Linked DNA regions of Macaca fascicularis. The main gene of each other region encodes a partner of the protein of the gene in region 3 in a complex. Links are inferred from orthologs where the notes say so. Each region holds a gene or a part of one and is shown on either strand. Other genes may lie near its edges. The genes, in order: ECSIT, NDUFAF1 and COA1.

What was found.
Region 1: COA1 (region 3) and ECSIT share a complex: the UniProt entries of both Homo sapiens proteins name them as parts of the mitochondrial complex. The link is inferred for Macaca fascicularis from reciprocal best matches to the Homo sapiens genes COA1 and ECSIT.
Region 2: COA1 (region 3) and NDUFAF1 share a complex: the UniProt entries of both Homo sapiens proteins name them as parts of the mitochondrial complex. The link is inferred for Macaca fascicularis from reciprocal best matches to the Homo sapiens genes COA1 and NDUFAF1.

The regions. Positions count from the first base shown.
Region 1 is NC_088393.1:12,072,490-12,076,351, forward strand, and holds the end of ECSIT (evolutionarily conserved signaling intermediate in Toll pathway, mitochondrial), read right to left. Parts: intron 2,685-3,862; coding exon 2,627-2,684; intron 2,498-2,626; coding exon 2,349-2,497; intron 2,206-2,348; coding exon 2,100-2,205; intron 1,085-2,099; coding exon 843-1,084; 3' UTR 739-842; downstream 1-738. Other genes in the region: ZNF653 (zinc finger protein 653), read right to left, coding at 127-425.
Region 2 is NC_088381.1:17,949,243-17,953,964, forward strand, and holds the start of NDUFAF1 (complex I intermediate-associated protein 30, mitochondrial), read right to left. Parts: upstream 2,859-4,722; 5' UTR 2,803-2,858; exon of another isoform or gene 2,502-2,802; intron 1-2,501. UniProt on the Homo sapiens protein: As part of the MCIA complex, involved in the assembly of the mitochondrial complex I.
Region 3 is NC_088377.1:86,524,069-86,528,567, reverse strand, and holds the start of COA1 (cytochrome c oxidase assembly factor 1 homolog), read right to left. Parts: upstream 2,934-4,499; 5' UTR 2,886-2,933; coding exon 2,867-2,885; intron 1-2,866. UniProt on the Homo sapiens protein: Component of the MITRAC (mitochondrial translation regulation assembly intermediate of cytochrome c oxidase complex) complex, that regulates cytochrome c oxidase assembly.

The DNA.
Region 1 (3,862 bases), on a different chromosome or scaffold from region 3:
CGGTCCGGCTCCTGGGCGGGGCCCGCAGGTGCCGGGGGCAGGGCCTCAAGGCGGAGGGGCGGGGCAAAGCCCGGCAGGGGCTGGGGGCATCTCCTCCCTCCCTCCTTTGGGGCCAGGCCCCCTCACCCGTGGCGGCCGCTTCGCTGGCCGCGCTCCAGAGAGATGAGGTAGGCGGCGAGCTTGGCGTCGCTCCAGCCGCTGCGGCGCCGCAGGTCCACCCAGGGCCCGTGCGCCTCGCCCAGGTACACGCGCCGCACGTCGTACTTCTTCCGGGACTCGAGCCGTCGCCGGGCCCGGTCCGACTCCGTGAGTCGCGGCCGGCCCCGCGCCTTTCGGCCCGCTGCGCCCTCCTCGGCTGCTGCCTCCCCGCCCGCGCCCGCCTCAGCCTCCGCCTCCGCCTCGGGCTCCGGCGCCCGCTCCGCCATCCCCCCCACCTTGGTTACCAGCCTCCCCCGTTGTTAGGAGCCGGACCGGAAGTGGCGCGCATCTTCAGCGCCGCCGAGAAATTTCTCACGGTCTCTCGCTGCCCTGGGGCGCCAAAAGGAGACTAAGAACGGAAACTGCGCATGTGCACAACCAACAGCGCCCCCACCCCTTTTTGATTAAACTTTCTAACTTCGCTTGAAGGGGGAGAACCAGAAGAGCCTGCAGATCCTGGAGGGGTCTCGCCTGCCCATCGCTGGCAGCCTGAGATCCTGGGGAGGGAATGCTACACTGCCAGAGAGGAGGGAAGGGAGCCCCAAGCAGGAAAACATTTATTTGCTGTACACTCAAAGGGCATCTCATGCCTTCAGTCCACCGCCGCCTCGGGCCACAGCCTGTGCCCTCACGCCCGCTCAGACTCAGCTCTGGCCCTGCTGCTGTCGCTGCCGGCTGTCGTCTTCCTCGTGGTCCTCGGGCGGGGGCGGTTCCTCCAGCCCTGCAGAGGATGTGTGGAGCTCCCCGGTGGCCCGGGTCAGGCGGAAGACCACGGGGATCTGGGCCAGAGTTGGATTGGTCTCCTGCAGGCCCTGGATCCACTTGGCCAGCGTCGCCTGGTCATGGGCACCCGCCATGCACATGGCGAAGACAGGGCCTTCCTCCACTGTTGGAAGAGATACACCCTCAGGATTTGCACAGTGGGGGCTGCAGCGGCTAACCCATGCCTACACCTTTTTGAGGTATTTTACACTCCCTTCCACTTTCTTTTTTGTTTGAGATGGAGTCTCGCTGTGTCGCCCAGGCCGGAGTGCAGTGGCGAGATCTCGGCTCACTGCAACTTCCGCCTCCCAGGTTCAAGTGATTCTCCTGCCTTGGCCTCCAGAGGAGCTGGGACTACAGGCGCACAGCACCACGCCCGGCTAATTTTTAAATTTTTAGTAGAGATGGGGTTTCACTATGTTGGCCAGACTGGTCTCAAATTCCTGACCTCAAATGATCCACCCGTCTCAGCCTCCCAAAGTGCTGGGATTACAGGCCTGAGCCACTGCACCCGGCTTCCTTCCACTTTCTTGTGCCTCCAAACCTTTGCACAAGCTAGCCCTGCTGCCTAGGCTGCCCACTCCACACTTCACCCAAGCGATGCCTCCTGGGTCTTCTAGATTCTGCTAGGAAGCCCTCCTGACCTCCCACTCAAGGCACGTTCCTCTCCTAAGCTCCCCAAAGTGTAATTTGCCTGTTCCCTTACTGACTCAAGGGACTAGGTTTGCCCTGGTGACACCCAGTAGCCAGCACAGAGGTGTGGAGGGAGGGAATGACCAAGGGCCGACAGGGCTGAGTGGCCTGAGGTCTGGAGCCCCTGAGGCAAATGAGAGTGTGTGGCGGGAGGATGAGGGGGTAAGTGGACTGCATCTCAGCCTGGGCCTACTCCTTGACCCCAGAGGCCGCCCCTCATCCTGGGTGGTGTTTGGAATGTTTGGAAGTCCTGCCTGTCCAGGTTTTTGCCTTTTTTTTTTTTTTCTTTTTTTTTAAGAGACAGGGTCTATCACGCAGGCCAGAGTGCAGTGGCTCAATCATAATTCACTGCAACCTCAGCTCCCAGGCTCAAGTGATCCTCCCACCTCAGCCTGTCGGAGGGCTGAGATTACAGGCACACCCACCGCACCAGGCCCAGTTTCTACCTTCATTGATGTCAAACTCGTAGTCATCCCAGCCACTCCTCGAATACTCCAGGTCCAGCTGCATCGGGTAATAGAGGTTCCACTCCTCCGGGGTCTCTTCCACTTCCTACTCCAAAGAGGGGAGTGCAGGCAGGAGGGTCAGAGGCCGGGGCTCTCGTAGTCTCCCTCCCCCAGCCTCTCCCATGCACCCTCAGGGTGGTGCCAGCCCCACTCCCCAGGCCCGACACATGCTTTGCTTTAAGCCCTCACCCTCTCCTCCGGGGGCAGCAAGTCAGCTCTGAGGATGTGGTAATACACACACTTGTTTCGGAGCCACAGGGAGAAGGGGCCCTCGACAAAGATGGGCCGGGCAGGGTTGTGGCGGGCCAGGGCAGCCTGCTGATCGGGACTCTGGATTCCTGGTGTGGAGATATACATGCCCTGTGCCCTGTGAGGGACTCTGCCCAAAGGCTCAGGGAGCCCAGCTTAGGTCCAGCAGGGCCTGGGTCAGGTTAGAGACCTGGCCGCCCCTATGCTTGCGGACTTACCTACGATGTGGGGCTGGGGGGGATCTGCTGCACCTGTTGAGTCTTTGGGCAAAGGAACCTGCAAGGGAAAGTAGGGATGTAATCTTGTAACCCCCAATCCCCTACAGAGGAACTGGAGACAGAGAAACAGAAAGGGGGATATCAGCGAATTTAGGACACCTTTCCTGGATCTGGTACATGGTCCTCCAACCTGTCCCCTTGTCCCTCTGTCCCATTTGGCAATAGCCACCAACCTTTAGGATGCTCACCCTGAGGGAACCACCCTGGAGCCAGCCCACATGTGTCAAAATCCTGACTCTGTCACAAGCTATGTGACCTCGGCCAAGTCACTGTACCTGTGTGCCTCAGTTTTTTCAGATGCACAATAGGGATGATAATAGCACTTAATTCCAATTATTATTATTTTTTTGTTTTTTTTGAGACGGAGTCTCGCTCTGTCGCCCAGGCTGGAGTGCAGTGGTGCGATCTCAGCTCACTGCAAGCTCCGCCTCCCGGGTTCCCGCCATTCTCCTGCCTCAGCCTCCCGAGTAGCTGGGACTACAGGCGCCCGCCACCTCGCCCGGCTAATTTTTTTGTATTTTTTTAGTAGAGACGGGGTTTCACCGTGTTAGCCAGGATGGTCTCGATCTCCTGACCTTGTGATCCACCCGTCTCGGCCTCCCAAAGTGCTGGGATTACAGGCTTGAGCCACCGCGCCCGGCTTTTTTTTTCTTTTATAGAGATGGGGTCTCCCTCTCTGTCATCCATGTTGGAGTACGGTGGCACGATCATAGTTCACTGTAGGCCTGAACTCCTGGGCTCAAGTGATCTTCCCACCTCAGTTTCCCAAGTAGCTTGGTCTAAGGGTGTACACCACTATGCCCCGCTAATTTTTTTAAATTTTTTTATTTTTGAGATGGAGTTTTTCTCTTGTTGCTCAGGCTGGAGTGCAGTGGCGTGATCTTGACTCACTATAGCCTCCGCCTCCTGGGTTCAAGCTATTCTCCTGCCTCAGCCTCCCGAGTAGCTGGGACTACAGGCACCTGCCACCACGCCCGGCTAATTTTTTGTATTTTTAGTAGAGATAGGGTTTTGCTATGTTGGCCTGGCTGGTCTCAAACTCCTGGCCTCAGGTGATCCGCCTGCCTTGGCCTCCCAAAGCACTAGGATTATGGGCATAAACCTAACTTTGGGTGGTTGTAAAATGTGTAGAACAGTCCCTGGCAAATAGTAAGTGCTCAGTGCTTGTGAATTACA
Region 2 (4,722 bases), on a different chromosome or scaffold from region 3:
AGAGTAAGACTTCACCTCAAAAAAAAAAAAAAAAAAAAAAAAAATTAGCTGGGAATGGTGCTGGGCACCTGTAACCCCACCTACTCGGAGGGCAGAGGCAGGAGAATCACTTGAACCTGGGAGGCAGAGGCTGCAATGAGCCAAGACTGCGCCATCGCACTCCAGCCTGGGCAACAAAAGTGAAACTCCGTCTCAAAAAAATACATATACAAAAATTAGCTGGGTGTGGTGGCAGGTACCTATAGCATGGTGGCAGGCACCTATAATCCCAGCTACTTGGGAGGCTGAAGCAGGAGAATCGCTTGAACCCAGGAGTGGGAGGTTGCAGTGAGCCAAGATCAGGTCACTGCACTCCAGCCTGGGTGACAGAGCAAGACTCTGTCTAAAAAATAAACAAATAAATAAATAAATAAAAATAAAAAATTGTAAGACCAGGCGCAGTGGCTTATGCCTGTAATCCCGACACTTTGGGAGGCCAAGGCGGGTGGATGACAAGGTCAGGAGTTCGAGGCCAGCTTGACCAACATGGAGAAACCCCATCTCTACTAAAAATACAAAATTAGCCGGGTGTGGTGGTGCATGACTGTAATCCCAGCTACTCAGGAGGCTGAGGCAGGAGAATCGCATGAACCCAGGAGGTGGAGGTTGTGGTGAGCCAAGATCACGCCATTGCACTCCAGCCTGGACCACAAGAGCAAAACTCCATCTAAAAAAAAAAAAAAGATAGAGATGAGGTCTTGCTAGGTTGCTCAGACTGGTCTCCAGCTCCTGGGTTCAAGTGATCCTCCTGCCTCAGCCTCTGGAGTACCTGGGATTACAGGCATGAGCCACTGCACCTGATGAATACTACTCCCAATACTTTTTTTTTTTTTTTTTTTTTTTTGAGACAGAGTCTCACTCTGTAACCCAGGCTGGAGTGTGGTGGCGCGATCTCAGCTCACTGAAGCTCCACCTCCCGGGTTCACGCCATTCTCCTGCCTCAGCCTCCCAAGTAGCTGAGACTACAGGTACCCAACACCACACCTGGCTAATTTTTTTTTTTCTTTTTTGTATTTTTAGTAGAGACGGGGTTTCACCGTGTTAGCCAGGATGGTCTCAATCTCCTGACCACGTGATCCGCCTGCCTTGGCCTCCCAAAGTGCTGGGATTACAGGCGTGAGCCATAGCGCCCAGCCCACTCCTAATACTTTCAAATCACCCTGATATATATTATCTCATGCCATCCACACACAAATCCTATGAAGTCAGGTAGACATTTCCTTTCTATAGGATACAGACACCAATAGGTAAAATGACATTATCCATTTTTTTTTTTTTTTTTTTTGAGACAGAGTCTTGCTCTGTCACCAGGCTGGATATCTTGGCTCACCACAATCTCCGCCTCCTGGGTTCAAGCAATTCTCTTGTCTCAGCCTCCAGAGTAGCAGGGATTACAGACCGGCGCCACCATGCCTGGCTAATTTTAATTTTTGTTTTTTGTTTTTTTTTCAGTAGAGATGAGGTTTCGCCGTGTTGGCCAGACTGGTCTTGAACTCCTGACCTCAGGTGATGCGCCCATGTGGGCCTCCCAAAGTGCTGGGATTACAGGCATCAGCCACCACGCCCGACCTTTTTTTTTTTTTTTTTTTGAGATGGAGTCTGGCTCTGTCACCCAGGCTGGAGTGCAATGGCACGATCTTGGCTCACTGCAACCTCTGCCTCCCGGGTTCAAGTGCTTCTCCTGCCTCTGCTTCCCGAGTAGCTGAGATTACAGGTGCCCACCACCACGACCAGCTTTTTTTTTTTTTTAAGACAGAGTCCAGCTTTGTCACCCAAGTTGGAGTGCAGTTGCGCGATCTCGGCTCACTGTAACCTCCACCTCCTGGTTTCAAGCAATTCTCTTGCCTGAGCCGCTGGAATTACAGGTGTGCGCCACCACTCCCAGCTAATTTTTGTATTTTTAGTAGAGACAGGGTTTCACCATGTTGGCCAAGCTGGTCTCGAACTCCTGACCTCAAGTGATCCGCCCACCTTGGCCTCCCAAAGTGCTGGGATTACAGGCGTGAGCCACCGCGCCCAGCCGACATTATCAATAAGGTTTGCTAATAAATCAAAATCATGTAAACAGTATGTTTTCACATGTATTATAAACGTAAAGGAACCAGGAAAAATTAACAGTTGATCTGAGATCCTGCAATTATGGATAATATTTAAATTCCCCCGCGCCGGTTGCACTTAAATGATTTACACATTTAAGTTACAAAATTATTTACCTCTACACATACAGAAATTTTAGAAACAAATGATAGCTCATAAAATATTTTGCAAACCCTCCGTAGTGTTATTTCTCTAGTAATATAACTTTAATTATAAATGCTTTGTTTCATTTTTTTTTTCTACCAGTAAATAGAAAATCTAACCTATTAACTGAACAATACCGCCCTGAGGTTGACGGTGGGTTTTGACAACATAATCCACGCAGCTAGAAGTGAGTCGAATTAGTAAAGATATCCACGGCTTACCATGTGCCAGAAACTGCTCTAAGGGTTTCACTGACGGCTCACAACAATCCTCAGAGAGGAACTATTATTATTTCAATTATGGAGACGAGGAAACCGACGTTTCAAGACTAATTTACCCGAGGTCACTGAGGTAGTGAGTGGCAAAACTCTTCCGCCTTGGCGTTTACCTCCGGCACTCACGGCCTGGCCTCCGAAGGCTAGACCTTCGCCGCGGTGGGGAGGCCCCGCAACCCTCAACTGCCAGGGCTCTGTCGCCTCCCCACACCCGGGACACATCAAACGCCGACCTACCACCGCTTACCTCCCCGAGCCTATGGTGTGGCTTCCAACCAGAAGCCACTTTTCACTTATAGGTCCATCTGTTTTTCCCTTCCGATGCCAAACAAGGCGTCAGAACACTAAAGTTCCGGCCGGGTACAGAAGCCCAGGAAGGAGAGCAAGGACCCGGTAGTCCAGCCAACTGAGGTTTTTGGAGGTTTTTGGTCCACTTGGTCGCCAGTTGTAAGGAAGTAGTGAGGATTCGGATAAGTTTTTCGCCTCTCCTTTCTGTATCCTTTCGGGCGGCAACTCTATCTCTGCGTCTTTTTTTTTTTTGAGACGGAGTCTCTGTCGCTAGGCTGAGTGCAGTGGCACCGTCTCGGCTCACTACAACTTCCGCCTCCCGGGTTCGAGCGATTCTCCTGCCTCAACCTCCCGAGTAGTTGGGATTACAGGTGTACGCCATCAAGCCCGGCTAATTTTTTTATTTTTAGTAGAGGCGGGGTTTCACCATGTTGGCCAGGATGATCTCGATCACCTGACCTCGTGATCCACCCGCCTCAGCCTCCCAAAGTGCTGAGATTACAGGCGTGAGCCACCGCGCCCCGCCTCCTATAGAACCCAGTTATTGCTAACGCACCTGCGCCCCCACTTGGCGCCTGTATCCCTTCTTTCCTTATCTGTCCCCTCAGTCTCCACAAGAACTACCTGAGGCCTCAAGAGGCCGGTTCTACTGGAATTGCCCCCATGAATTCTTGAGGACCCACCATGCACCTGGACAGCAGCACCTCCTACCAGCCCTTCCCCAGTCCTGCCCCACAGGGTCGCCAGTTCCTCAGGCCATCTGTTTGTACCTTGTGCACACCTCTGGTAAAGCACTTTCTTTTTTCTTTTTTTTTCTTTCTTTTTTTTTTTTTTTTTTTTTTTTTTTGAGACGGTGGAGCCTCACTCTGTTGCCCAGGCTGGAGTGCAGTGGCGCGATCTGCAACCTCCGACTCCTGGGTTGGAACAGTTCTCCTGCCTCAGCCTCCCGAGTAGCTGGGATTACAGGTGTGTGCCACCACACCCGGCTAATTTTTGTATTTTTAGTAAAGACAGGGTTTCGCCATGTTGGCCAGGCTGGTCTTGAACTCCTGACCTCATGATCCACCCACCTCGGCCTCCCAAAGTGCTGGTATTACAGGCGTAAGCCACCGTGCCAGGCCAAAGCACTTAAACATTGTTTGTTTGGTTTTTTTTCTTGCTGCCAGGGAAGACAGAATCAACACTGTAGCTTAATTATTCACTCACTTCTCACTTCCTCCGCCACGCTGTGAGCTTTCTTGGGTCCAGACTGCGCTGTTTTTCCTTAAGCAGAATGTCCCATAGCGGCGGGAATTTAGTGCTCAGTGTGAATTTGAGAGCATGTACTTCGGTAACACCTTTGTTCTCTAAGGTTCCAAAGGAGCTCGCCAAAACAATAGCCCTTTCCATGTTTTCTCCATCACTAGTTTCTGGGCCGCCTCCTCTTCCTCAAATTCTGCTTGGCTTCTCTAGACTCTACAGTTGCTTCCTCAAACCTTCCCTTTCTGCCCCCATCACTGACTCTTCTATTATCTTCCCACAACCTTTAATGCGGGCTGTCTCCATGGCCCATCCTGCACCTACTTGTTTTCTAGTTTGAAAAATATAAGTTATCGGCCAGGCGCGATGACTCACGCCTGTAATCCCAGCACTTTGGGAGGCCGAGGCGGGCGGATTGCAAGGTCAGGAGATCGAGACCATCCTGGCTAACACGATGAAACCCCGTCTCTACTAAAAATACAAAAATTAGCTGGGCGTGGTGGCGGGCGCCTGTAGTCCCAGCTACTCAGGAGGCTGAGGCAGGAGAATGGTGTGAACCCGGGAGATGGAGCTTGCAGTGAGCGAGATCATGCCACTGCACTCCAGCCTGGGCACACAGAGCGTGACTCCGTCTCAACAC
Region 3 (4,499 bases):
GTGGTGGCAGCCTCCTGTAATCCCAGCTACTCAGGAGGCTGGGGCAGGAGAATCACTTGAACCCAGGAGGCAGAGGTTGCAGTAAGCTGAGATCACACCATTGCACTCCAGTCTGGGTACCAAAGCGAAACTCCATCTCAAAAAAAAAAAAAATATATATATATATATATATATATACACACACACACACACATATGTATATAACTACTACTGCCTTTTAACCAATAAAATTTTTAAAAAATTACAATGTTAACAGGATTTTATAAAACTAATTTTTCCAACACGCCCCAAACAATACAGAACACAATAGTTACACTCAACCTCTGCATACATTAAATCTTCAAATAAATACCTGCTAGTATGAAAAAAGTACCTAATATTTGGTGACCAACTGTCCAATATGGCTCTCACAAATCTAATGCAGTATATGAAACATGAACAAGAGAATAAAAGAATAACTTCTTAGAGTCTGTTTAAAGTAGAGAGTTAAATGAACAAAGTTGAAGCAGATCATGGCATATTTTTCGAGGCAGAGAGACAGGGAGGCACCAATGTCTGAAACAATGAACACTATTAGGCTAAACATAACACCAGGGACTCAGATGTCACACTAACTGGGAAGTACTATGTCAGTTTCTCTAACTCCTATAATTAAAGAACAATATTCTAAACTACTGGCCAGAAGGCTTTTAGAGGAAAAGTCCTGACTACACAAAAATGTAAAACAACAGTATAGTAAAAAAGATAAAACAAAGTTAACTAAATAGATTGAAGATATCTGCCACATACCTAACAGTCAATGGCTTAATATTCCTGCATGAAGAAACTCCTAAAAATCAATAAAGACAGATAAAACTCAATACGCAATGGCAAATTACAAAGTTTCCCCTTGCTTCATTTTTCGAGTCTTAAAACACTCCTCACAGGTTCTTTCACAGCATTTTTCCTGGGCCTGGCCTCCCATGTAGCTGTCGGAAAACCATCACTCTCTAAACTACAATCACACACCCACAAGGAGGTCTCCAAGGCTACTAAAAGTTAATCTCATGTGCTTTTCATCTAAAAGAACGGTAGCATAATCTAAAAGACTGTCACATATCTGATAAATGACTTGTATCTAGAATATATAAAGAACTCTTGCAACTCAATTACAAAAAAGAACCTAATTTAAAAATGGGCAAAGGATCTGAGCAGACATTTCTCCAAAGAAGATACATAAATGGGCAATAAGCACTTGAAAAGATGCTCAACATCATTAGCCATCAGGGAAACGCGATTTGAAACCACAATATTTTCAAAAAGTTAGGAGATTTTTAATGGTTGCAACACAAAGAAAAGATGAATGTTTGAGGTGATGGACATGCTAATTATCTCATTTGATCATTACACATTGTATACATTTATCAAAATAACATTCTGTAGTCCCTAAATATGTACAATTACTACATGTCAACGAAACAAAAAATGAAAACACGATGACACACACTTCACACCCACTAGAATGGCCAGAATCAGAAAGACAGATAATGACAAGTGTTGGCAAGGAGTGAGAAATCAAAACCCTAATACACTACTGGTGAGAATGTTAAAAAGATGCACACTGATGCTTTGGAAAACAGTCTGACCGTTTCTTAAAATGTTAAACAGAGATACCATATGACCCAGCCATTTCACTCCTAGGCACATATGCAAGAGAAATGAAAACATGGTATGTCCACACAAAAACCTGTAGGTGAATGTTCACAGCAGCATTATACATAATAGCCAAAAGGTGGAAACAATCCAAACGTCCACTAACTAATGGAAAATAAATCGTGGTAATACCTATAAAATAAAAGATTAACCAGCAATTAAAGAAGTACTGACACATGCTATTAAATACAACACAGACGAACATGAATGTTAAGTAAAAGAAGCCAGCTGAAAAAGACCACATGCTGTATGATTTCACTCACATGAATAATCCAGAACAGTCAAATATACAGTCAGTCAATTCATAGTTGCTTAGGGCTTAGAATGGGGAGTGGGGATGGGGAAGTCAGGTGAGCCTGCTGAATCAGTACAGGGTTTCTTTTTGGAGTGATGAAAATGTTCGAAAATTGTTCCAATATGGCTCTCACAAACTGAATGCAGCACATTAAACATGAACAAAAGAATACAAGAATAACTTACTGCAGTCTGTCTGAAATAGACTTAATAAAATTAAACCAACTAATGAAGTTGAAGAAGATTACAGCATATTTTGTGATGATGGTTGTACAACCTTGTGAATGTACTAATTACTTTTAGGTTTGGTTTTTTGTTTTTTATTTTTTATTTTTTTTTTGAGACGGAGTCTAGCTCTGACGCCCAGGCTGGAGTGCAGCGGCGCGATCTCAGCTCACCGCAAGCTCCGCCTCCCGGGTTCATACCATCCTCCTGCCTCAGCCTCCTGAGTAGCTGAGACTACAGGCGCCAGCCACCACGCCCGGCTAATTTTTTGTATTTTTAGTGGAGACGGGGTTTCACCGTGTTAGCCAGAATGGTCTCGATCTCCTGACCTCGTGATCCGCCCACCTCAGCCTCCCAAAGTGCTGGGATTACAGGCGTGAGCCACCGCTACATTTTAAATGGTGAATTCTATGGTGGGTGAACTATGTGTCAGAAAGTTGTTTTATTTTTTTAAAGGACTGAAGACTTTTGTTTTGTTTTGTTTTCATTTTATCCCGTTTTTTAAAACAGTGCCTAGCAATATTATGAATTCAATCGATTTTGGCTAAATGTTAAAACAAAAATAAAAACTTGGGTAAACCATATGAAACTTTGCCGTATCTAAAGTTATTAAATTACTGTAAACTGGCATGGTGGGAGCATAATATGAGTGTACCTGCAGGTGTGTTTTCCATGAAAGTAGCAAAGACTGAAAAATTCAGCAGAATCAAGACCCCGAAGGCCCCTTAAGTTAGGCTAAGAAATGTGTATTATCCTGAAGGCAACGGGAAGTCCAGGAAGATTCTGAGGACAGAAATAACACAATCAGATATGTTTTAAACGTGCAAGTGTAAGCGAAGAGTTGCTACTTCTATCCAAAAGTGAGGCACCATTTCCCCCAGGGGAAAATGGGAAGGAATTAGGGGAAGACTGGAGAAACAGGTTATCAAATTATCAGAATCTCCATAGATTTTTAAAAATTACACAGCATCCACCCCAAACACACATACAGACTGACAGGCACTGATACATACATCCAATGTCCCCTACACAGAAACTCACTTTTGTAGTCAGCTCCTGTTGGTAGGGTTTTTCTGTCATTCAAGTGTGGCGGGGACAAAAAGTATTATAACCACTAAACCAGATAATTCTTTCCTACAATAATGTGGGCAGCGTACTCCCCAGGTGTTGAAATTTAGTACTACCAACAAAAGTACCCAGTCCCAACTCTTCGAGAGGACCCCAACTCTTTACAGTGTGCTGTTGGGGATGCCCAGCAAAAACTGCAGGACAAAGTCAACGTTAGCTCGACACAGTCTCCTAACTCCAAGCGGACGGAGCCAGCGCGGGTTACCAGGAGCCAAAGAAGCAGCGCAGGGAGGTCGCGACCCGGAGCCGGCGCGAACCTCCGCGATGTGACCCGTGAGGGAACTCTCCAAGCAGCAGAGCACCCCGCGCGCGAAGGCGGCCGCCCGGATTGCAGGAACAAACGCTTCTCGCTGGCGGGGGAAGACGGAGACTCTTACTGCCGCAGGAGACTAACCTGTGAGCAACAGAACCACCACGCTGTGGAGAGTGAGCAGTTCTTCCAGGCGTGGGGGGAGCACGGGTAAATGACCGCGGTACGGCGCGCCAGCGGGGAGCAGTCGAGACTTCCGGCGTCTGCAGCTCGCAGGGCTAGAGCGTCGAATCGGGGCAACCGGAGGCTTCAGCTCACACCGGATTGTAAATGCTAACGCGGGTCTTCGGGCCGGCGGATCCAGGACTTAGGTCGCCGGGACTTGTGGCTTCTGCTTCTCAGACGTTCGGACTCGCGCTGGGAAGGGGTTCGCCTCCCCTGGTCCCCGCTTTTTTTTTTTTTTTTCTGCGTCCGGTTATTGCAAATGCATTCAGTCCAGTAGCACTAACCCAGGAAATTTAAGCACCGGCTCACGTTATTTCTCGCAGGTATGTGGCGCTTCCGCTGGCCTCTAAGGACACAAAGCCCCGGGCCGTCTGACCCCCACTCCAGCACTGAAATCCATGCCGCCCCGTTCAGCTGACAAATTTGGCAGCACTAAATTTTATTTTATTCTACAAATTGAGTGCCCAGTTAACACCAGGGAGTACCGGGGTAAGAAAATTTCAGAAGTCAGGTGGATAATAATAGCATTTACCTCATAAGTTTGTTATGAGGATGTAAAGCGCTTAGAATAGTGTCTGGCACTTTGTAGGCGCTCAGTGAATGTTAGCTATTATTTTTTTTTTTTTTTTTTTTTTTTTTTTTTTTTTTGAGACGGAGTCTCGCTCTGTCGCCCAGGCTGGAGTGC